Linked DNA regions of Drosophila melanogaster. The protein of the gene in region 1 interacts with the protein of each later gene in a biochemical or structural test. Each region holds a gene or a part of one and is shown in the gene's direction. Other genes may lie near its edges.

Region 1 (8,011 bases):
AGCACCGCCTAATCTAATATTATATTAAGTACAGCTAAATGTCTGGTTTTCAGCTCTTCGAGTACGAGCGTCTCATCAAGATCCTGCTGCACGGCGTTTCTAAGACGGAGCAAGAGGGATTTGTCCAGCGCATAGCAATCTACCTGCTGAACACACTCGCTTGCCAGGTGGATGGGCGACAGAAGCTCTTCCTGGGCGAGTTGGGCGTAGTTAGTGTAAGTGTCTTGCCTATCAACTGTTTGCCGGAACTTATTGTACTTATTGGTGATATTCTTGACTTTAGACCATGTTCACGTTGATAAAGGATCGGCTGACTCGCTCCGTTTTCGACGATGTGATGGAGGTGGCTTGGTCCACCATGTGGAACGTAACCGATGAGACTGCTATTAATTGTAAGAGATTCCTCGATGGACGTGGCATGGAGTATTTCCTTAAGTGTTTACATGTAAGTTCTCCAAAAACTTGCCATTATCCGCAGCGCAACAAAGATAAGATTGGGAACTAAAATATTTAATTTAAGAGCTGCATAGAGAAAGCGAACAAATGTATACTCCTTGGTTTCATGAAGAAATAGGTTAACTTCCTGTATCCAGACTTCTTAAGCTGAACTGTCCTTTTCCAAAACAGACCTTCCCGGATCGTGACGAGCTGTTGCGCAACATGATGGGCCTGCTGGGCAATGTGGCCGAGGTGAAGTGGCTGCGGCCCAAGCTGATGACCCAGGAGTTCATTGAGGTGTTTGCCCGTCTGCTGGACTCCCTGAGCGATGGCATCGAGGTGGGTGGTGCTAGTGCGAGTGTGGTGGCGAGAGTGCGGGAGAGAGAGATGGCCAGTGCTAACCATGCCTACCTGCGCTTCCAGGTCAGCTACAATGCGGCTGGAGTGCTGGCGCACATTGCCTCGGACGGAGCGGATGCCTGGACGATCAAGACGCCCAGCCGGGAGCACGTGCTGGAGCGCATGGTGGCCGCCATTCAGCGGTGGAACATCAAGAGCGAGCGGAACATCAACTACCGCAGCTTTGAGCCGATCCTCAGCCTGGTGCGCTGCTACGAGACGCCCCAGTGCCAACATTGGGCTGTTTGGGCCCTGGCCAATCTGACACAGGTGGGGGAGCAATTCCTTTTCCCATTGTTGGTGCATTGTGTACTAACTTCTGCATTCCGTCACAGGTTTATCCCGAAAAATATTGCAAGCTGGTGGAGCAGGAGAACGGCATCCAGATCCTCAACGAGCTAATCGAGCACGAGAGTCCCTACTGCGAGATCAAGCGCATCGCTCGCCTGGTCATAGAGCAGTGCGACTCCGGATCGGAACGCATGGTCGTCGACGGCTAAGCGGATATTTAGGATAACACGTAGCTTTAGGAGTCGAGTTTGTTGTAATGTTTTTTTTCTGCTTCCTCTGTTTCCCGTTTTAAAGCAAGTGCATGTGTTATGTGGTTCAAGAGATTCTTCCTTGACTTTTATGTTTACAGCGAGAGCAGCAGATACATAGATGCAAGTTTAAACTATGCGAGAGTTAAGCAACTAAATCTAATGATGCAGAAATATTCGATAATTACATAATTACTAGATTATATATGTATATGATGTATCACATGTTGTAAGCCAGCGATCTTTTTAGGCCTTCAGAAGTGTAAATATTGTTAAAACCGGAAAGAGGAAGACATTGGAGTAGCAAGCAAGGCTGCTGGAGATTAAATAAATCCTTAAGAATTGAATTCCCCGTGGATCGATAGTTCTTTCTCTAGCCACATAGACGAGTGTATGGAATCTGTTCTTTGAATTGTGGTCATCATACGATGCTCACTTAACCCCCCCACATTTGCTGTGCTTTCGCATCACGAACCCAAGTAGCTGCAAGTTCAGGATCGGATCGTTCAAAATAATCTAGCTATATAATCTAGACCACTAGGCTAGGCTTAAGCAACTGTAAATATATTGCAAGTAACAGTTTTGAAAGTTCTGCGCTTGGCATTAATATTTATAACAGTGTACGTTACCATTAGTTACCTTACATTACGTATATACATATATATAATTTGATTCGTAAGCGACATCACGCCTGTGTCTTACCAAAGACCCTAGAATAACAAGATGCGTAACGGCCATACATTGGTTTGGCACTATGCAGCCACTTTTTTGGTGACGGCCAAAATTACTCTCTTTCCGCTCACTCCCGCTGAGAGCGTAAGAAATCTAAAAATATAATTTGCTTGCTTGTGTGAGTAAAAACAAGAGACGAGAACGCGTATAAGTGTGCGTGTTGTGCTAGAAGACGATTTTCGGGCCAAAATCAATTCTGATCGAAGAAACGAATTTACATGGTACATATTAGGGTAGTTTTTGCCAATTTCCTAGCAATATGATAAAATAAAAAAATTTTTAAAAATTCGCGCCCTGACTATTATAATTTTAAAGCTTTTTTAAATTTGTTTGTTAAAATCGCCGCTTGAATTAGCTACCGTTTACACATTTATATTTATGTTTAATTCTAATTTGTCTCTCATCTGACAATTTTTTAAAAGCGAAATATTTTTTTGAAACACTTTTAATGTTAATGTTACATCATATTAAGTCAAATGATTTAATAAATATACTAAATAATTAAATATGCAATTAAATTAAATTGCAAAAGTAATATCAAAGACAATAGAATTATTCTAGTGTCTTTGCTTTGTTCCACGGCCAAAAAATCGTGTGCCAAAAAATCGTATGGCGTTACGCATCTTGTTATTCTAGGGTCTTTGGTCTTACACTTTCCTTACCATCCAAAATCACACGATTCTTACAGTGGAACTTTTCTTAAGTTTATTATTTCTGCTTTTGATCGATTAAAGTAATTTTTAAAAATATTTTGGTACAGCTCTTACTCAAATAAAGCTCAGGAACTTCCATTTAACTTATCTATTTGAAATCATTATTTTTTTTTAGACATCATTAAAGAATGAATGCATCACACATTTAAGAAATCTGTTTTTATCATATTTAAAACGGATTTTTTGAGTTTAGGGCTAGAAAGTTTTCCAAATTAAAAGTTTGCTCTACAAAATACATTCATTAATTCGACTTCATTCATAAAACATCATTTCACAATCGCAACTTTGTAGCACAGTGTGGAGTGGAGTGTGCCAACCAGAGCTTTGTCTTCATCATATGTATGTGATATGAGTAAGTTTCAATAAAGCTGCATCTCCCGTGCAGTTTCATTCATCAAGTTTTCAGCAGTGAATCACTAACTAGTATGAAAACTAGTGATGATTTTAACATTGGCATTCCACGGTGCAAGTCGCGGGGTGTGGGGTGCGTAGCCGCTGTTATTATCGAAGTGCAGGGTATGTAAACATTAGGGGGTGTGAGTGGCCAGCTCTGGAATTGCGTCATGCGCCCCCTCGCAGAGCGGGTGGGTGGGCGCAGGGGAGGAAGGAAATGCCAACGGGTTGGAAATGCTTTCCAAGCTGAGCGCATGTGCCGTGGGAATCCGAATCCCCTGCATCCCCCAGAGAGACACTCTCTCTTCTCAATTTTGGCAGCTCTCCTTGGTCAGTTGTCATTTTGCCGGCGGAAAGTTCGCGTGTTTGTTTTTGCCTGGATGTAAATGTGCAATAGTTTTGCGTTCGCGGGTGCAAGCAAAACGGTAAATAAAAGTGAAATAAATGAAATAAAGAAAGCCAAAGGCCAAGCAGAGAAGCGCAAGCAAGAAAGTCCTGTGAACCAAATAGAAAGCAAAACACACGGGGGGTAGCAATCAAGCCAATTCTCCTTCAATGGAAGGAGAAGAATGCGCATTCCATTCATTCGCTAACAAAACCATTCAATCAATGCCAATTGCCTAGTTTAATTCAACAAAATGAAAACAAAATTGTTCCGGCAATTGACGAGGCGTAAACAAAATGCAAAACAATTGTTTGCCAGCCGGATTCTGCGCAGTGTGCCTTATATTTCCAGCAGGATCAATAACCTTCTTATCAGCGGAAAATAAGGGAAAACGACAACAAACCGTTGACTTGGCAATCAAAACAAAGGGCAAAAGCAAAAAGGAAATTTGTTTGCCGGCCATGAAATAGACTATGGTATTGAAAACCAGCAGCCTATGATTATCCGGAAGTATCTCTCTGGGCCCGCGGAAAGTGCAACAATTCTAGTAACGTCAAATTGCAACAAACTGATTTCACAGGCCCCCCCAACCCCAACAAACAGAAAATCTTAATTTCTTTTCTTAAGAAAACGAAATGAATGAATTATTTTTTTTATTCATCTCGACACAACCTCGGCGGCACTCGAACCGCCACTCGAAAAACGTGAGCACGCGTGAATCGACATCTCAGCGCACTCGACCAAATCGGTGGTGGAATTTATGTCGTTCAAACTGAACTGCCTCCAAAAGAGCTTTTGAGTTAAAGAGATTGAAAAGCTCTGCACAGTGGATCCACTTGGCGAATTTCGAAAACAAACATTTTAAAAATATATAACAGCTATTTACTTTTTTTGTTTCAAATTATTATTTAAATTTCTACAATATTGGGGAATAAAAGGACAGACAAGTTCGGAGCATAATACTTGATAATTACTTTTCCGCAGCTGAACTCTAATCGCTACAAACACTGCCAAACCACAACACAACGATCCGCCCTGATCCCAAAACCAAATCTGGATAGCCAGGAACAGCAGGATGTGGCCCGGCTCCGAGCGAGGAAGCTCGCGGGCCCTGGAAATCCCAACCAGCCAGCAAAATGCCGGCGGTAGTAGTCAGCAGGAGACTCTGGCCGACATCGAGCACATATCCACCATTGCCGGCTCCCTTGCCTCCATTGGATCCCTCTCGCACACCCAAATGCGCTATGTAAGGAGCCGGAGTTGCTTGTAAAGATCGTATCTCTAACTCTAATTACCCGCAGCAATGCACCAATGATGCCGGCTATGATACGGAACACACGTCCCTGAACTCGGACTTCGATGAGGCCGAGCTGCGACGGGAGCTACTAAGAGATGTGAGTTCCAATACGAAAATCCTGAACATTACTTATTATAATTCCTTCTTTCTTCACTTTACTTACAGAAATGGAAACTGCTCTTTGACATGGTGAGTAAGCCAACCCAAAAAGGAATACTTATAATTATACTTATTTATAATTACTTTTCACGCTTTGCAGTTCGATCCCGAGGGTTTTGGCGAAATATCAGTCGAGGAATTCCTGGAGGCCCTCAAGTCGCCGGAGTTCCTGTCCCAAGTGCCTATGAACAAGCGGGAGCTGCTGCTGGAGCGGGCAAAGAAGGCGAAGCTGCCCACAGGACCCGGCTACGTGACGTTCCAGGACTTTGTGAATGTGGTGAGTGTGCCGTGTGCCGCAATTACAATCGCCGGTGGTCACTGGCCAAGTAACCAAAGTAACCAAAGTACCCAAAGCACCCATGCCATGCGTATATTTGTCCCGGGCTGCTCATCAACGGCAAACTCGATTTAAGTGCAAACACAGGTGCAAAGTACTCACCCAGGACGAGGTCCAAAGTGTAGGCTCGTGTTCAAACAGACGGAGGACAAGGCCTCGTCCTGGCAGGAGCCGCACTCTTGTTTGGCAAATGCAAAAAGTGCGCTTGGCAAATAAATGCGCCGCTTACGCTTACACTGCGAATAAAAGGGGGTTACTTACTTTTATGCTAGTACCTATGGACACCTTGTTCCGGAAGCAGCAATGTATTTGAATGAAATACACTGCGCATTAAGTTATTTGAAGGATATACCAAGGACATCGATTGTAGAAAAAGTTAGACCATAGTTTTTCTGTATGTAAGCCCACGTCTCGTTTGCTTCCTTCGCCACGCTTGGCCAGGCATTTGAGTGTTTGTCCTGGTTACCTGGGCACTGGCTATTTGTCCTGATGTGGTCCGAAAATACTACCTTGGACTTGAGCTGTGCAACTGGAGGGGAGTGGGCGGCAGAGGTGACTTCTGCGAGCGAATGAAGCGCTTTTCTCGGCTTTTCCTTTGATTGGCAGGGCAATCCTATTGCATTTTGATTGATTCTACCCAGTTGATTGGCACGCACACAAACCGCACACGACAAAACACTCATGCATAATCAATTGCACAGTGAATATTCCTTCGCCTTGGCCGTTCGATTGTTTGCCAAAGTGTCCTTAAAGTCATGAATTAGCCAGGCCGACGTGTCCTCATTTGCCCCTGTGTGTGTGTGTGTAAGTGTGTGAGTGAGTTTGGGCAAAGACACTAGAATAACAAGATGCGTAACGGCCATACATTGGTTTGGCACTATGCAGCCACTTTTTTGGTGACGGCCAAAATTGCTCTCTTTCCGCTCGCTCACGCTGAGAACATAAGAAATCTAAAAATAGAATTTGCTTGCTTGTGTGAGTTAAAAACAAGAGACGAGAACGCGTATATGTGTGCGTGTTGTGCTAGAAGACGATTTTCGGGCCGAAATCAATTCTGATCAAAGAAATGAATTTACATTGTACATATTAGGGTAGTTTTTTGCCAATTTCGTAGCAATATGATGAAATAAAATAATTTTTAAAAATTCGCGCTCTTCTTATTATAATTTTAAAGCTGTTTAAATTTGTTTGTTAAAATCGCCGCTCGAATTATCTACCGTTTACACATTTATATTTATGTTTAATTCTAATTTGTCTCTCATCTGACAATTTTTTAAAAGCGAAATAATTTTTTTGAAACACTTTTAATGTTAATGTTACATCATATTAGGTCAAATGATTTAATAAATATACTAAATAATTAAATATGATAACTGTTTATTGCAAAAGTAATATCAAAGACACTAGAATTATTCTAGTGTCTTTGCTTTGTTCATATCTTGAGGCACGAAATGCGGACACAAGCACTCAACAATCATTGCCTTATTAATTTTTCACACGCCGCAAGATGAATACTCTAATGACAAATATTCTTATATAAAGTCATGTTTGAAATTGATTTTTGTGATAATATGTACATAGATTTGGCTTTTTCTAATCTATTTTCAAATAATAATAACGTTAAGGCAATGCAAAACAAGAATTTTTCGCATGGTGCCAATTGATAAAAAATAATATAGATTTAAAGTCTAAGAACTTCTACGGTGAAGGGCATATTTTGTCAAATTTACAATGCATGAGCATACGTGTGCACACATAAAGTTGTCTGCTATCACTGTATGCGTAGAAAAGAGCGGTTCGCTGTAGCGCTCTTCGCTCTCTCGCTCTCTAACAAAAATTCGAGAGAGCCTGGAGCCACCTCTAGAGCCACGGCCAAAAAATTGTGTGCCAAAAAATCGTATGGCGTTACGCATCTTGTTATTCTAGTGTCTTTGGTTTGGGTGTGTGCCTAACGGTAATTGCGGATGAGACCCGGGCCATTCTTTGCACAATGGATTTCCATTCCACATTCCCCCGGCGAGGACATTATTAGGTCCTTGTTTGGCCTGCTAATGCATTTGTTATTCCAATTGAGGGCTCCGTTTCCCTCTATGTCTCTCTCTCTCTCTCTCTCTCTCGCCTTGGCGAGCCATTCATATCTTTGCCAGCAATCTGAGATCCTTGTTGCCATCGTAGACAACATATTTCCACTTAATTATAAATTGCAATGATCTGCCGGACACGGGAGGGCATATTAACCAGGACCTGGCGGTGGAATCGCCAGGAATCCAGGAATGCCGCGATGCGATGTCCAACCTGGCAATGCGCCATGCATAATGCAGGCTGATGATTGTTGCATTTCCAACAAAAGCTCGCACGTGACAAATCCTTTTATGGCAGCGCACAGAAGTCGGGCATGTGGATGCGGCGAGGACGTGGTCCGCAAGACGCCACCGAGGGGCACGACGTGTTGAACGTTATGACAACTGGAGGCACGAGGCGCGCTGGCGACTGTCGTTTGTCTTCCTCGGCCCAGTCTGCATCTGGCCGCCACTTGGGTTCCCATTCCCAATCCCACTCCCATTCCTATTCCCCGACTCTCGACCAGCCATCGGACATCGGACATCAGGCACAGCAGGC
Region 2 (8,469 bases), about 16 Mb from region 1:
TAATTTATACTTATGAATCGAAAACTCCCACGGCGTCGCATTGCAGTAACTGGCTTGTCAGTTACTCTCAAACTGTGTCCACAGCTTTTCCGCGGTGGCGCGTAGAAAAGCTCACGCCACCTTGCAGTGGCTCTAAAAACTTTTAAAAACTAAATCTCTTTAGTTAGATTAGATCTCTCATATTACAAGCCAATTTTATGTATATCCCTGATCTTGATGTTTATATTTTTTAAATTCAGTGGCTTGACATCCCAGAAGTTTGGAGTACTAATCTCACGTCTACACATTTTTAGTTCTTGAACAGAATATATTTAACAAAATATAAATATTCAATGATTTTGAAAGAAAATGGTACGGTCTATAGTTTTGTTTCGGATTTTATTAATCTACAGTTTTGGGTATGCTTATTTTAGATCCTGTTGGTTCGCAGGTAATCTTCATCGTCATCTCCATCGGCATCCTCCACCACGCTGTACGAATTCTTGCCGGCACCATCCTTGGCCAGATGCGTTTCGAAGAACTCCTCGACAGTGTCTGTGTTCCACTTGGTTATGGACAACGTCTCCTGCACTTTGCCACTGGCATCTAGGAGCTTAACCACGGGATCCAGTCCTCTTACGTATTTGATCTGCAGGTTGGGGAACTTGGCAGGTCGGCCGCTTTGAATAAAGGCCTGAATCTGCGGATAGGCCCGGAATTTGCAGGTGCACACCTCCAGAATTGCCTTGGCATATGTCCGCTGTGCCGCCGGCTGCTGATCCAAAGTGCAGCATTGCTTACACTGAGGCCTGAAATGTTAAAAATGTTTTGGATGAATAAAAAAGAGCAATGGGCTCAAGCAGAAACTATAAAAAGTTAATATAATTTTTGTTATTAAAAACTGAAGGAAGAATCATATTTAGTCAGTGGTATGGAGGAGCTTACTAAGTCAAGCTAAGCATTTTTGGTTGGAATATTTAAAATGAGGTATGAAATTTAACCTGATCTAATTAGATTAACATATTAATTAAACAATTTTCAGGTCTTCTTATGGAATGATTATAGCATAGTTCATGGGTATCTTTACAACTCCAAAGCTAGATTAATTAAATGTTATTGAACCCACTTGATGGTATCCAATCCGAAATCATCCAGTTTTTCGCAACTGGAACACATTAACTGGGCCTTAATAAAACCCAACGCCCGGCAGTCGGCGGCCGTCAATTCGGCTTGAATTTGCTGGCACTGTAGGGTATAAAATATATATTAAAAACATGTCTTAGCTTCAGACATAACTTACACTTAAAGCCAGTAGAAGAAATATAGCACATTTATGCATTTTTGTGGCTAAATTCTAATTAAATTTACTACGTCCACGTCGTTGTTTACAAAATTTTCTTAGCTTAGTGATGAGTAGAAGGGAAAATAACATTATTTAGGCTTATCGATTATATTCGGGTTGCTTGTCTTTTCATCGTTTAGGGTATTCCGTATACTGTTTATGAATTAGACAATTAATCAAACTTTTGAACAGCTTTAATAAACTTATTATTATTATTTCTTGATATTTTTTCAGCAATTTGAAACTTTTGTCACTATAAAAGTGTACAAAATAATTTCAGGTTTTTATATTCAAGTACGCAAGTTTATTTTCCGATGTTAATAACTAATTTCATGTGATTCGATAGCTTATCACGCTTACATCCCTACAATCGATACGGACTGCCCAGCAGCTGGCCACCACTAGCTCAGAAATCGAAGATTATTCGTGGTGGTGCATTTGTTTTTTTCGCTTCGCTCGCGAAGTGAGCCCAGTTTTAAATTATTTAAATTGCGTATAGTGAAGCCACTTGAAAGCGAAACGCCTACTGTCGCAGTTCTGCCAAAAAACCAACAGTATTAGCTGTGTGCGTGTTTGGCAACAACAAGTCAACAAAATTCGAACAAAATCAATAAAACGGAAACGTGAGAGAGCGCTGCGCAAAAGAGAAAAGCGAACGCAATCGCAATCGACCAACGCATAGAAGAAAACAAGGTGAATAAATAGAACATGGCATAGAAAAGGCGAACTAGAATCAAATCGAATTAAAATCGGGTACAGAAATAGACGTGAAAAGAAAGGGCGAAGAAAGGGAAACAAATAACCGTTACAGGAGCACTCCTGGAGATTTAAGGCTCTCTCTCCCCCTCCTCAGCACTTTAGCCCCAGTTGTGCGTTTGTGTGTGTACATGTGTTTATGTTTTGTTTAGCACATTAATAATCTTAATTCTGCTAGATTTCGCCACTCAGGTGCTAAACGCTAAAAAAAAAAGTGCACACTCCGATAAGTCTACCCCTGTGTCGGTGTACTTGTTTATTTAATTCATATTTACTCAAGTAAATTAATTCATTTGCCCTTGTACAATAACAACAAGCGCCGTTTGCTTGGAAACTCGTTCTCGCAGTCGACCGCCTCCCCTCTTCGCTCCTAATCTTATTCTTTCTCTATTCCACTGCAATACCACTGCAGCTGTCGGTGCCTGTGTGTTTTTCATTCAATCCAGGAAATTGCCCCTTGAGAGACCTTCCATTCAGACAGCTCCATCTGCATCTTCTTCAGCTTCTTCCGCTTGCATCTTCATCCTCTCTCTTGTGCTCCCGGTCCCGTTTAACTGGTTTACTTTATGCTTTATTCCACTGATGCCTCCTCTATCGCCCTCTCCCTTGCGCACACCTGCTGCTTGGCAGCTGTCCACGCGCTCAAATTTCTTATCACCGAACAAACTCCGGCTGAAACCCAAAACCTGGCCCAAACTGCGTTGTTACTTTTCCACGGCAATTCCCTAATTTCCAACGCCTTTTGTCACGGCCCTGTTGCTTTCTCCCTCTCGAGAGCTCTAACTCCCTCTCCAATCCTATTTTTACATACACGCATACGCAGTAAAACTTGGCTATGACAAACCACATATTATTCTATAGATACCAAATACTGTTTTTTTAATACTGTATATTGTTAGATACAAAAACACTTTTGGAATTACAAATCCAGATGGAATTATTAAAAAAAAATATGTATATATTTTGCACAAAATTTCTCATCTGTTTCAAAGGTAATTCCATATGTGTTGACATTTAGAAATGTAAAAGCTTTTCTATTTATTTTAAAGATTCAAAAATTATTTTTAGCCGAATGCATACGCATTAAAAGCAAATCGATTTATTCGGTTTAAACATCTATTGTTTTTCAATGGAAAAACCAGTGTATTTTCCAGAGAACCTTACCTAAGTTTTTATATGTATATATTACATTGAAAATAATTATATGCCAGCTTTGAAGCATGTTAACGATAAGTGTACTTGAGCCCGATTGTTAGTGAATTCTTAAAAAATAAGAATGAGCAAAGTCGCTTTACATTGGGATTGATTGTGAAATCCTCCAAATCTTTGTGTGTCACTATAGAGTCTTATTTAAAATGATATTACCAAATGTATTGGCAAAACGCAGATAAGTTCAACTGTACAATGTGCAATCTCTCGGTTTCGTGCAATTTTGCAATTTTTCAAATGCCCGCACATCTGACTCATCCACAGGTAACTGTAATTACTGCCTAGCATCCACTTGCTTTCCGCACCTGTGGATGGTATTTGTCACCTTATCAATACGGTTTCTCTGTGTTGACTGTGATTTTAGATATTCCTGCGCACGAAAAAAATTGGACACCTCTAAATTTAATTATACAAATAGTACTGTTTATGTTTTCCTATATTTATTGAAGTATTTTAAAGTGTGTATACAAAAGTAATTATTGAGTGCATATGAAACCAAAGTCTTTTGTATTCTGATACAAAAATCATATCATATATGATATCAAAATTTATTTCTGTGTACTCTGCTGTTTGTGAGGTCAATTTTTGATAAGCCACCAGGTGCTCATTTAGCTCGTTGGCGCCTATTAGCTCATTATTCAAGCTTACGTCCGGCTCACCCACATACCCACAGATATAAAAAAAAACTATACAAAAAACCCATATATGCACTCGCAGAAATTAGGGCCAACTTAAGCCCACTCACGCAGTTTCTTTATTGGCTTGAACTATTTTTGTTTTGCTCGTTTGGCTCCGTTTATATTTCAATTGACCGAAAGGTCATCTTAATTGCATTTGTGTTTTGCGACTGTCGCACTGTCCTACTCGCACTCGCACTCGCACTCTTCTCCTGCCATTTCAGCTGTCAACTTTCACTCGTGAGCTTTGTTGTTGTTATTTTTAGACGTAGGTGCGTGCCACACATGTGATGGGAGGAAAGGGGAAATTTTATGGGGCTTAGGGCTCCGTTGAGCTTTACAAAGCAATTGGACACGGTTTAGTCCAAGGACTCGCGACTGTGGATTGAGATTCCGACTAGTGACGAGAGTCCTAGAAAATAAAAGCTAAATGCTATCTTATATATAATTGACTGTTTGAAATAAAGTACAAATATTAGATTTAATGTGCTAACATCCAAACAGGTGACGAAAGCAAAACTTTTTAAAACGAAGTGTATATTTATTATAATTGCAACTGTTTCGCTCTTCTTTCCTTCACTTCCAAGTAGAAGAATATAACTTTAGTTTTGATTAATAATGTAATATTGCATGTTTGAATAAAAAAATAGTTCAATTTCACTGACATATTTCCTAATATAAATTTAGACAGTTAAGTTGGCATGACTAGCGTTTATTGAAAGCACTTAGAAAGTTTTAATTTACGTTAAGTGGAATTCCGAAAATTAGTGTTTCTGAAAACGACACTGTTATTGTGGATCACAACTAAGGCGAGCACTAATTTGTTTATGTTTTTTACGCCCACTCAAATGGTCGCCACTCAAATGTTGCTTACAAATGATGTATTTGTTTCAGCAGAATTACTCAACATCGTTGTTTCTGTTGATCATTCGAATTATTTTGTTTATATACGCAACGGGATCAGTTACATTCTAATGAAGCTCATTCTTTCTCCGGAAAAGATCTTGTTTATAACAAGGCGTTTCGAAATCCTAAGGTTAAATCAATTTTTTATACGTTTAAATACATCTTGTATTAAACAGTTTTTATATATTGAAGTGCCTGAAGTGTTCGCTATGTTAAGTGAGAGTGTAAACAGAAAAACCAATTGATAATGAATGCAGGCTGTGCAAATGCCACAGCCGCTTGGGTTCCGCTCGCGATTCCGGCCAGGTAAATAAACGATGTCATTTTTTTGTTAAAAATTTATGAAATTCGATTTTCTGTTTCTCGTTCTCACTTAGGTCGAGGAGCATAGGTTGTAATTGTGAGAAGGAGGCGGCTGGCGGTGCTAGGCAGGCAATTAACCCACACAGACCCGAACACGAGCTTACATTTTTGATTTGTTTTTAATTGCACTTCGTTTTTGTTTTGCAGCCGCCTGCCAGCCAAAGCCAAGAATTCCACATTACAAAACACCTTAAACTGCATTGCCACATTCCCAAGTAAGCTGCCATGAGTTAAGATCAAGATGCGAGCCCAGGATCTGCTGCTGCTTGCCACCGCTTTAATCGGCGCTTACCTACCGCTCACCGCCGCCTGTTCCTCGCGTGCCATCGCTAAGCCGCGGCCAACAGCTGCACCGATCCTGCCGCCGGATAATGTGGAAATATCCACAACGCCGAGACCGAATGTCACCTTCCCGATCTTCGCCTGTCCACCGACCTATGTCGCCTGGTATTGCCTGAACGATGGCACCTGCTTTACGGTGAAGATCCACAATGAAATCCTATACAACTGCGAATGTGCGCTGGGATTTATGGGTCCGAGGTGCGAGTACAAGGAGATTGATGGCTCGTACCTGCCAACCAGGAACCGTGTGATGCTAGAGAAGGCCAGCATTGTTAGCGGAGCAACGCTGGCCCTTCTGTTTATGGCCATGTGCTGTGTGGTTTTGTATCTGCGACACGAGAAGCTGCAAAAACAAAAGCTGCACGACAGCACCACAACCACAACGACCGACGGTGGCTGTCAGAACGAGGGCATGGACGAGGTGGATGGCTTGCGACCCTTACGTCCAGTGAGACGTCCCTTTGGACCCTGCCGCATCCTATCGCTGGAGGAGGCCCACCTTCAAGCGAAAGCCTCCAATCGCCCCAGGCATTGCAACGAACTTTTGCGCTAACTAATTAGCCTGGCTGCTCATTTGTTTTTAAATGTCTAACATGTCCAACTGTTTATTTTAACTGCTAAACGAAACTATTATTTTTGCCATCTGATTGAGATGGCGAATGCCGTAGTTCTAAGTGCCTACTGACGTGCCTATAACACATTTAGATCAAGTATTAACGAACGAAAACTGATTGCTCAGAGAGAGATAAAAATAAATCTAGATATAATTCAATGCAATTTTGGCAGCTAGCCGCCCATTTATTTATTATACACCTAATTTTATTAAAAAAAAAAACGCGTGAACTAATATCGTCAATAAAAGCGAGAACTAAATCACCAGCTTTACTTTCAATTTAGATAATGCAAATTTCGAATACCTTTAGAATTTGATTGGGAATAGTTTGCACAAAATTCACCATGGCCTTGATTTTCCTTTTATTTCAGAGATGCATGTAAATACTAAACAGTTGATCTGTTAAGCTACACGAAAATAAGGATATCTTAAATTTAGTATGTAAGAAAGAAAAGAATTTCTTAAGAATCTTCTTTTCTGAGACGTCACCTTAGGCTGTCAAAAAAATTCATATGCTTTGTAACCCCTTAAGCACTGAATTAATTTTCCCGTTTTCCGTTTGTAATTTCCAGTCATGCCGCACAACAACCAGCCGTCTCCCGGGGATGATCAGTTGGGACCGCCAAAGGCGGACTTCAGTGCTCCGCCACCGTACGAGGCGAACGTTGGCCATGGCCAGCAGGTAGCACTGCCGGCTCAGATGCCACCGCTGGCCTTGGCCACACCCGATCCCAGTCAGATCCCGATACAGATGCAAGTGCAGCTGCCGAGCCAGGCGGACCTTATGAATGCACAACTGCCGCCAGAAATACACGGGAAGTTGCCCACGTACGAGGAGGTTCAAATGGAAAAGTCGCTGAACGGAGAGCTGCCGCCCGCCTTTTTGACTTTACCCTCCTCGCAGCAGCTACCGCCGCCGCCGAATCCGCTACTGCCGCCAAATCCGCTGCGCGATGGAGCCGCTGCTGTGCGATCTGCCCAGCCGGCACTCACGTTCATCGCCATCGATGCCAGCGATCCGGAAAATAGTCTGTCCACCACCGACAACTTGCTCGGCACGGACATCATGTTCATCACGGCCTTCATTGTGGCCTTTTTGTTTAACTGGATCGGCTTCCTGATGCTCACCTGTTTCTGTCACACAATCGCCGCCCGATATGGAGCATTGTCGGGATTCGGATTGTCGCTGGCTAAATGGACGCTGATCGTGAAGCACTCGACGGACTTGGCCTCGCACGAAAACTCCTGGCTCTGGTGGCTGATCTGTGCCTTTGGCTTCCTGATCAGCATACGCGCTTTAATACAGTATGTCAGCATCAAGCGATCGTGGCGCCTCCTTTCCGCCTCTGCCCAGGAACGGCTGCTATTCTTTTACTAGGTGCACCTGGAGGCTTTCCAGTGGTCGTCTTGTAAATACGTTGTGGGTGGCTAGGAGGCTCGAATGCTACCAACCAACCGATCCCAACACCCTCTATTCCCCAGACCCAGCACACGAAAAATCAACGCGAACTTATTTTGCAGAGTTCTCGAAATCACTATGGACTTGAAAGTATTCCCTCAAATGTATTAGTCAATCAATTTCTTTAAAATAGAAGTAATGTTATTCAAAAATATACTTTGTATATCCGTTTACTACACTTTCAAGTCACAAACTTATTGGGATATCTCGCAAGTCCAAAATTGCATTAGCTTTCAAGAAAGTTTCAATTTTCTTTTAAATACTAAATGTATTGAACAGTTTTACATTAAGCCAATTGTAAATTGTAAACGGTGCAGCGGCTTAGATGTTGCGAAGAAAATTCGATTTCGAGAGCTATCCGAGTTGTGGGTTATCATTTTTTGTAGTTTCTGTGTTAACTAGAGACGTTAAAAATGTGTGTTAAAAAGTGAAAGGCGAATGCATCTTCGCATCTGCTCTCCCCCAATCGATTATAATTGTAAATGTATGTGAAATGTGTATGGATATATAAATATCTCACCCTAATTGATCCCTCTACACCCCCACAAAATCTCCCTAGGCCTTTTAGTGGCGCCCATGCACTTGAAACAAAGACACAAAACAAACCAAAAAATAAATGGGATACAAAATTATAAAGGGTCGAGATAGAAAAGTATGCCACCCATATCTTTTGTTGAGCCCATTTTACGCTGTGGTACTTAATTAATTAACTACACAAGAGCCAGCAGTAATACGAATGCTAAACACACACAAACAACTATTGCTAGAACATATGATTATTGCCTATTATAACGTTTAATTACTATGTTTAATCCCTTTGTAT
Region 3 (6,253 bases), on another chromosome or scaffold:
GATGGACATAAGGCAATAGTAGCTACTAAGCTGTGTTAGTAAACGGGTCCGCTGAATCCCTCTGTGCCAGAGATTATCCGCAGTTGATCGTTGAAGCTCTGCGCGGGCGGAATCTGATTCTTCTTAGAATCCTTTTCCATTGAACGGGATCGCAGATGCGGCTTATTCTTAACGCAACTGAGTGGAGTTCGCTTTTGTGCGGACAGGGGGGTACTGTTTGTCTTGGGCGTAATGGATCCTCCGGTCACCGGGGACCCCTCCTCTTGGTCAACATAGATCTTTGGCTTGTTGGCTCTGGCGGGCTTGCGCGGTGGCACACGACGCTTGTGACCCAAACGCACTCGCTCCAAATGTTTGTTCGACGGCACTTCTGGTAGCTGCTCCTCGCCAGCGACAAAGGAGGCCATGCTGCTGCCAGTGCTGAGATTCAGGGTCAGTGTTTCCAGGATGTGCTCCAGCATCTGGGCCTCGCGTGCCTCCTCCTCCTCGTCGTCGCAGAAGATGATGGGTGTGCGATCGACGCCCAGGCTGGGCGATCGGGGATCACCATGGGGCTGCTGTTCTGGCGGGGGCGTGGCCATTTTCACCTGGCCCTGCTCCAGATTCGGCTCCTGATACGGCAGCAGCTGTTGCTCGCAAGGCAAGGTTTCTTCCTGATCATAGGGCAGTGAAACAATCTCCAGGGAAATATTGTTGTGTGCAGCAGACGGCGGTGTGCCGAAGCTATCGCAGCTCTCCTCTAAATCCACTTGGGGCGGTGATGCAGGCACTGCTCTCTGTGCTGTACCCACCCTGGTGTCCACGAAGAGATCGGCGAATGTGTCATCCATATTAAGCGAACGAACCTCATCGAGGACCAGTGGAGTGCGATTCAGCTGAGGAGAGCGAGGATCGTTCAGGGAGAAGCCCTTGAGCAAACGTTTTCGCAGCATGGAGAAGGCATTTTCACTGGTGGTCACATGCTGCTCCTCCTCCTCAACGCGAGGTTTTGACGCCTGCAAGAACTACAACGCAGCCATCATTACTAGGGTTAGTAATATCAAAAAATACCTAATGCCTATAAACTCACGGTTAAAGGCGTGCGGCAGCCATTTGGTGATCGAGGATCGAGCAAAGCGTTGTTTTGCTCTCGATTCGGCGTCGTCATTTCCATTTGTTCTCGCTTTTCGCTGGCCAGGCGCATTTTGTTTAGTGTCGGCGTATCCGGCAGATATTCACCTTCCATTTTTGTTGCCTTTGCTCCCATTTTAATCAAATAATCTGACTTATTTTGCGACTTCTCACTAAATGTTGCGGGGTAAAATAAAATCGTTGCCGCGCATTTGTTTTGAAATGGCGTCGTGTGGAGTTGCCGGATCAGGAAATGCCAACTGGTAACAGTATTGTTAACGTCAGTCTAGCTATTTTCAAGCCAATTCTAGCAGTGATTACAAATGGATTTTATCACTAGTTCTTTCATTATTACTAATAACTAACTAATCGTTACAAATATAAATAGAAATTAAACAACGTTTGGGATATTTAGAACTTAAGTCTGTAATGTTTAGGTGGATTCTTCTTGTTTTACTCCTCTCAAATAAATTTATGAATTGATTTTTATTTATAGTACATAAGAAAATGTAAAATTCAGTAAACAAATAAACTAATATTAAAGTTATCAGATATTTTTTTTAATTTCGCTTTACAGCACTGATTTTTATGCTGCCTCGCGATAGTGTCATCTCCCTCCAGCTAAAGTCTGGCAACACTTGTTCATTTAAGACGCGACACAACGAATTGTACTCTTTCAGTTTTTCAAAAAGAAAATGGCATGAAAACAGGCCAAAAAAGTGCGACAAACGAAGAGCTAAATCCCAAAGTAAGTGGTAAAGTAAGTGATAAACATCCAAATGAAAGCAACCCAAATGCATACATAAATGCGCGAGTGTGTGTGCTAAATTATAACAGTAGTGACTGTGTACCTTCACGGAAAAAGGGAAATGAAGACAGGAAACTGGGTTTTTTTACTCCAGATGACTATTTTTATTGAATTTACGCAGTTGCTGTACTAAATAGGCGAGTGTTTTTGTGTATGTGTGTGTGGGCGCCGCAAGCAGCAGTAAATTCTCCTGTGTGTATATGTGTTTTTTTTTTCTATGGCCGTCTCCTTTTTACACACACTAGCGCACAATACAGCTGCGCCTTGTTTTTTGCCGACATTTTTTCTGCTTAGTTTTATTTATTTTATTTCAATTAGGCAGACAAATTATTTTGCTCGCTTTGTGGAGCCATCAATGTGGGTTAGTAAGCTAAAGTGCTGCGTAAAATTGCGCTATTGTTTTATTTGCCAATTGTAGCGCAAAAAGTAAGCAAATTGTATACACACAAACGCCAGAGCGCATGTCGTGCAGACTTTCTCTCTTGCTCCAAATTGCGAGTGTATGCATCTGCGTTCGTGTGCGTGTGAGTACTGAAAACAACCGAATTTCATTCATTGCTCATTTCCGAGAAAAACTACACGCTACACTCGTCGCCATCTGCAATTGCACCTCTGTGTGCGTAAGTCACTGTATCACAAGTACATTATATGAACTATGTATATAGGAGCCGCTGCAGTTGTGCAACATGTTAATTGATTCCAGGGGCTGCTGGGCGTGGCAGGTGCAAAAGCCCCTTCCACCTGGCTTCTATTTACAGAAACTTCTTCCCACTTCCAGAGTTCAACATTCTTGCTCTTCCCGTCGCTTGACCGCGTTTTTCAAACATTCCACGAGCGGTCTTAGCACACTCACACCGGCACGCTATGTGTGTATACATACGTATGTACGTATATTGATTTCAATCAACTTTGAAGCGCGCTCTGGCCTTCTCCTTCGCTCATTCGGCGGTGTGCTATGCTCTGCCTGTCTCTCTCGTGCTCATCTGTCAATTGAGCACCACGTCCGTTTGTCGGCTCATCAGCAATTTACACAGACACACACTTCACCGCGCTGCATCCGTGTGGGTAAATTCCATTTCCTGTTTATAATATTGCGGCGTCTTGTCTGTCTGTCTGTCTGGCGTACAGCGGAGACGCAAACCAGCGTCCCTTTCGCCTTTCGTTCCGCTCATCTCGCTGCACAATGGATCGATCCTAAATAAGCATCTTTTAAAAAGTATTCAAAGTTTGTAAATCGTAACGCATAGCAAATATATTGTTATCGTCATAGTTTGTCATGGTTATAGTTTTGTTAGCTTATTTTTGTTATTCTAAACATTTTAAATTAATACTACATCTTTTTGCAAATCGGATATCCGTCTACTTTCGCTCTTATCCCACGTACATATCTCCCACTTACGATCATCCGCGAGTTTCGGTTCCGTAGCACGTTACCTTACGCATCGCAACCACTGTGCCGTTGGCATTGGAACGCTGACCGCTTTGCGGCTGGGAACGATGGGGAATCGGAACATCCGAATGCGACGCGCTCCGCTCTTATTCGAATTCCCAGCCTGATCCGGCTGTCACTGCTCTTGTTGTTGCGGCAGCGGTGAGTTGAGTAGTACAGTACGTGCCACTTCCTTTACATTCAGAAAAATAAAAATTGCTCACACACACTCATGCATGTATACGCCTAAAGCATACATAAACAGACGTTCCGGACAGACAGACAAACATTGAGTGGAGCGTTGGGAGGGGAGCGGTTGCTTGGCGTCTGCGCCGTGTGTTGTTGCTTTTATGCTGCCCCTACTTATTGTTCTTGTACAGTTGCAAAGCCACTCACATGCGTGTGTGTGTGTGTGTGTGGAGCCAAAACAGTGAAAACGAGTTTGATGTCTGGCTAGATATGGCAACTCTGTCGGCGAGTGCACATCCCCCCAACCCCAAGCCCCAAGCACCCGCTTATTAGAAGAGAAATACCGCAGAGCGTTGTTGTTGATTTTACGTAAGAAGGCCGTCGAACTCAGCATAGAAAATGGTGAGCGAAAGAAAGAGCGGCCGCGAGATAGATGAAATATGGGGGCCCACGACCAGAACCACAGCCAGAGAGAGTGTGCATGCAAATAGGTGCGAGTGTGTGCGTCTAATGATTACCGTTACTATTTGCATGTTGTCTAGTCAGACGTCTCGCGACCCAGACTGTGCGACCCACCAGGCAATTGGCGAAAAATTCTTCGTCGTGACCTTTCATCGTCATCGTTTCAACCGGACATCCAAGCTATATGCATATGTATGTATGTATGTGTGCGTGACAGTAATGTTGTTTATTGATTTTATTAGCATTGCCTTCGAATTGGCTTTCCGAATGAGCATACAAATATATACGACAATGACGGTAATGGCGGTAAAAACGTTAGCAAATTGCAAGAATGCACTGAAAAAAATTCATACAGTGGGGCAATTAAAAGTACATTAATGTCTCTAGGGCTCTAGGAACTCTGCTGGTTCGTAACATTTAGATTGCAGATATGAACTAACTAATATCGGCCAAATTACGCGAAAGAAAACCAATTACAAAGCGGTCTGGAGGAATCCTTCGCAAAGCATTGCTAGTGCTGTGACTGCAGCTGTACACTTGCCACTCAGTTGCGTGCATTTCTGCATTTCTGCCGGCTGTGGTTCAACGTCCTAAGCCGCACACAACAAGTGCAACAATTGTAACATCAACAAAGCAACAGAACACCGCAAAAGGGGCAGAAAAGCGGTGTGGCAAAGAAGCACAACTTGATGGGGGAATCGGATTGGGAATGGGAATGCACAAATGCAGAAGCGAAGCGACGAAGATGGCAAACGGAATGAGGGCAGGTCCTAGGGCAATCCATTAACATTTTGCCCATCGCCCATCCCCCATCATCATCGTCATCGTCATCGTCGTCATCTTCTTGGTATTATTGTACAGTTGAACCTGTAGCACTGAGTCCCGTCCCGCTGGGCTGTGAACTAAGCCGATTGATTGTCCAAATCTCACCAGAATCGAATTGCCATCCGGGTGACTCTTGGTTTCTTTCTTTTCCTGCCTTTTTCTACTTTTCTCCCGCTTTTGGATGCATTCCGACATAACCCAGAAAGCGTGTGCCAGGTTGTTGCTGTTGTGTCGCTTGTGACGTCAATTGGCTGTGGAATGGTGTCTGCGGCCCACATTGCGGACCGACTGCCCACCGGAAACGGGTAGTTGTGCCGCTTTCATACATGCAGTACATGTACATAGGTCGAATCCGCCTTATTAGAGGTGGAGAAACATCGATGATTCCTCGAAAAACATCGATGTTTGTGATTTTTTGAAAAAATCGACGACATCGACGTTGGCATTTCAGTAAAGGAATTCCAAAATCTCATTTACCTGTGAAAACCGCGCCCCAAATGTTTTAGATCGCGTATGGATTTTCCCAGAATATATACATAAAATAAATATATGTAATTTTATAACATAAAGTTACCTCTTGGGAGCTCTCGAAGCTGCAGCACACCTTTTTACCATATTTTTGAGTGAATGTGCAGTTATTGGAGAAACCCTCTTCCAGCCCTGATACGCGAATCTCCAGCAAGTTGCTCCCATTTCAAGGGGCGTTGAATCGCGAGAATCTGGAAAGTCAAAATAGCAATATTTATGGCAACGACATCGGTCGGAGCTTTATTTTTGGCGCGCTTCTCGAGCGGCCAGAAGAAATTTCCCGAGGAATGGAATGTTGTTTACTTGCGCGCCTGCGCATCGCATCCGCATCCTCAACCTTCGGCCAGTTCCATGAAATCTGCAGTGGGGCCGAACTCGTCTGGGTTTCATCCTGTTCGTCCTGTTTGTCCGGCTACCTGCCCCGCCCCTGCGCACCGCCACGCCCTCCGCTCTCGAGCGCATTTTTCCTCTTTTTTTTTGTGCTTTTGCACCGCCGCTCTGCGTCGCTTCTTGTTTGTGTGCCTTTTGCTCCGCCAAGCTTAAAAGTGGCGGCGTCGGCGACGTCGTGTCAATAACATGTTGATCCTACATCGTGCGAAATCTTCTGGCAACACCAAAACAAAAACCAAAACAAGAGAGAGCCCTTTTTACGAAGCGTAACTACTCAGATATACCCTTTAGTCCAATAGGTAATATCATTTGTTTGCAATGACAGCTATAGGTGAGTGATTCCTATTGAATTTTGTATTGTGTGGCTTGACATTAATGGAATAATATTAATTTAAGATTTAAACGAGTAAAGTAGCTTCTGAGGCAATTTATTTGAGTAATTATGCAAAGTGTATTTTGGAAAAATTCTTTGCCTAAGAGCCCATCACCGTATACCCAATTAACTCTCCAAG

What was found. The genes of interacting proteins can lie anywhere in the genome.
Region 2: of the proteins of stet (region 1) and Krn, one has a biochemical effect on the other in vitro, tested with the Drosophila melanogaster proteins (one study listed by BioGRID).
Region 3: of the proteins of stet (region 1) and spi, one has a biochemical effect on the other in vitro, tested with the Drosophila melanogaster proteins (2 studies listed by BioGRID).

What each region holds. Positions count from the first base shown.
Region 1 is NT_037436.4:1,485,080-1,493,090, reverse strand, and holds the start of stet (stem cell tumor), read left to right. Parts: upstream 1-3,543; 5' UTR 3,544-3,639; intron 3,640-4,045; exon of another isoform or gene 4,046-4,185; intron 4,186-4,259; exon of another isoform or gene 4,260-4,352; intron 4,353-4,583; 5' UTR 4,584-4,674; coding exon 4,675-4,845; intron 4,846-4,900; coding exon 4,901-4,993; intron 4,994-5,061; coding exon 5,062-5,085; intron 5,086-5,155; coding exon 5,156-5,332; intron 5,333-8,011. Other genes in the region: CG12084 (uncharacterized protein), read left to right, coding at 54-215, 284-445, 628-1,107, 1,173-1,337.
Region 2 is NT_037436.4:17,647,537-17,656,005, reverse strand, and holds Krn (keren), read left to right. Parts: upstream 1-1,725; 5' UTR 1,726-2,014; intron 2,015-5,379; 5' UTR 5,380-5,473; coding exon 5,474-6,127; 3' UTR 6,128-6,444; downstream 6,445-8,469. Other genes in the region: CG7484 (uncharacterized protein), read right to left, coding at 410-788, 1,106-1,224, 1,280-1,318; Ndfip (Nedd4 family interacting protein), read left to right, coding at 6,762-7,565.
Region 3 is NT_033779.5:19,572,791-19,579,043, reverse strand, and holds the start of spi (spitz), read left to right. Parts: upstream 1-1,728; 5' UTR 1,729-1,858; intron 1,859-3,456; exon of another isoform or gene 3,457-3,509; intron 3,510-6,253. Other genes in the region: msb1l, read right to left, coding at 36-1,004, 1,070-1,246. UniProt on the Drosophila melanogaster protein: Ligand for the EGF receptor (Gurken). Involved in a number of unrelated developmental choices, for example, dorsal-ventral axis formation, glial migration, sensory organ determination, and muscle development. It is required for photoreceptor determination.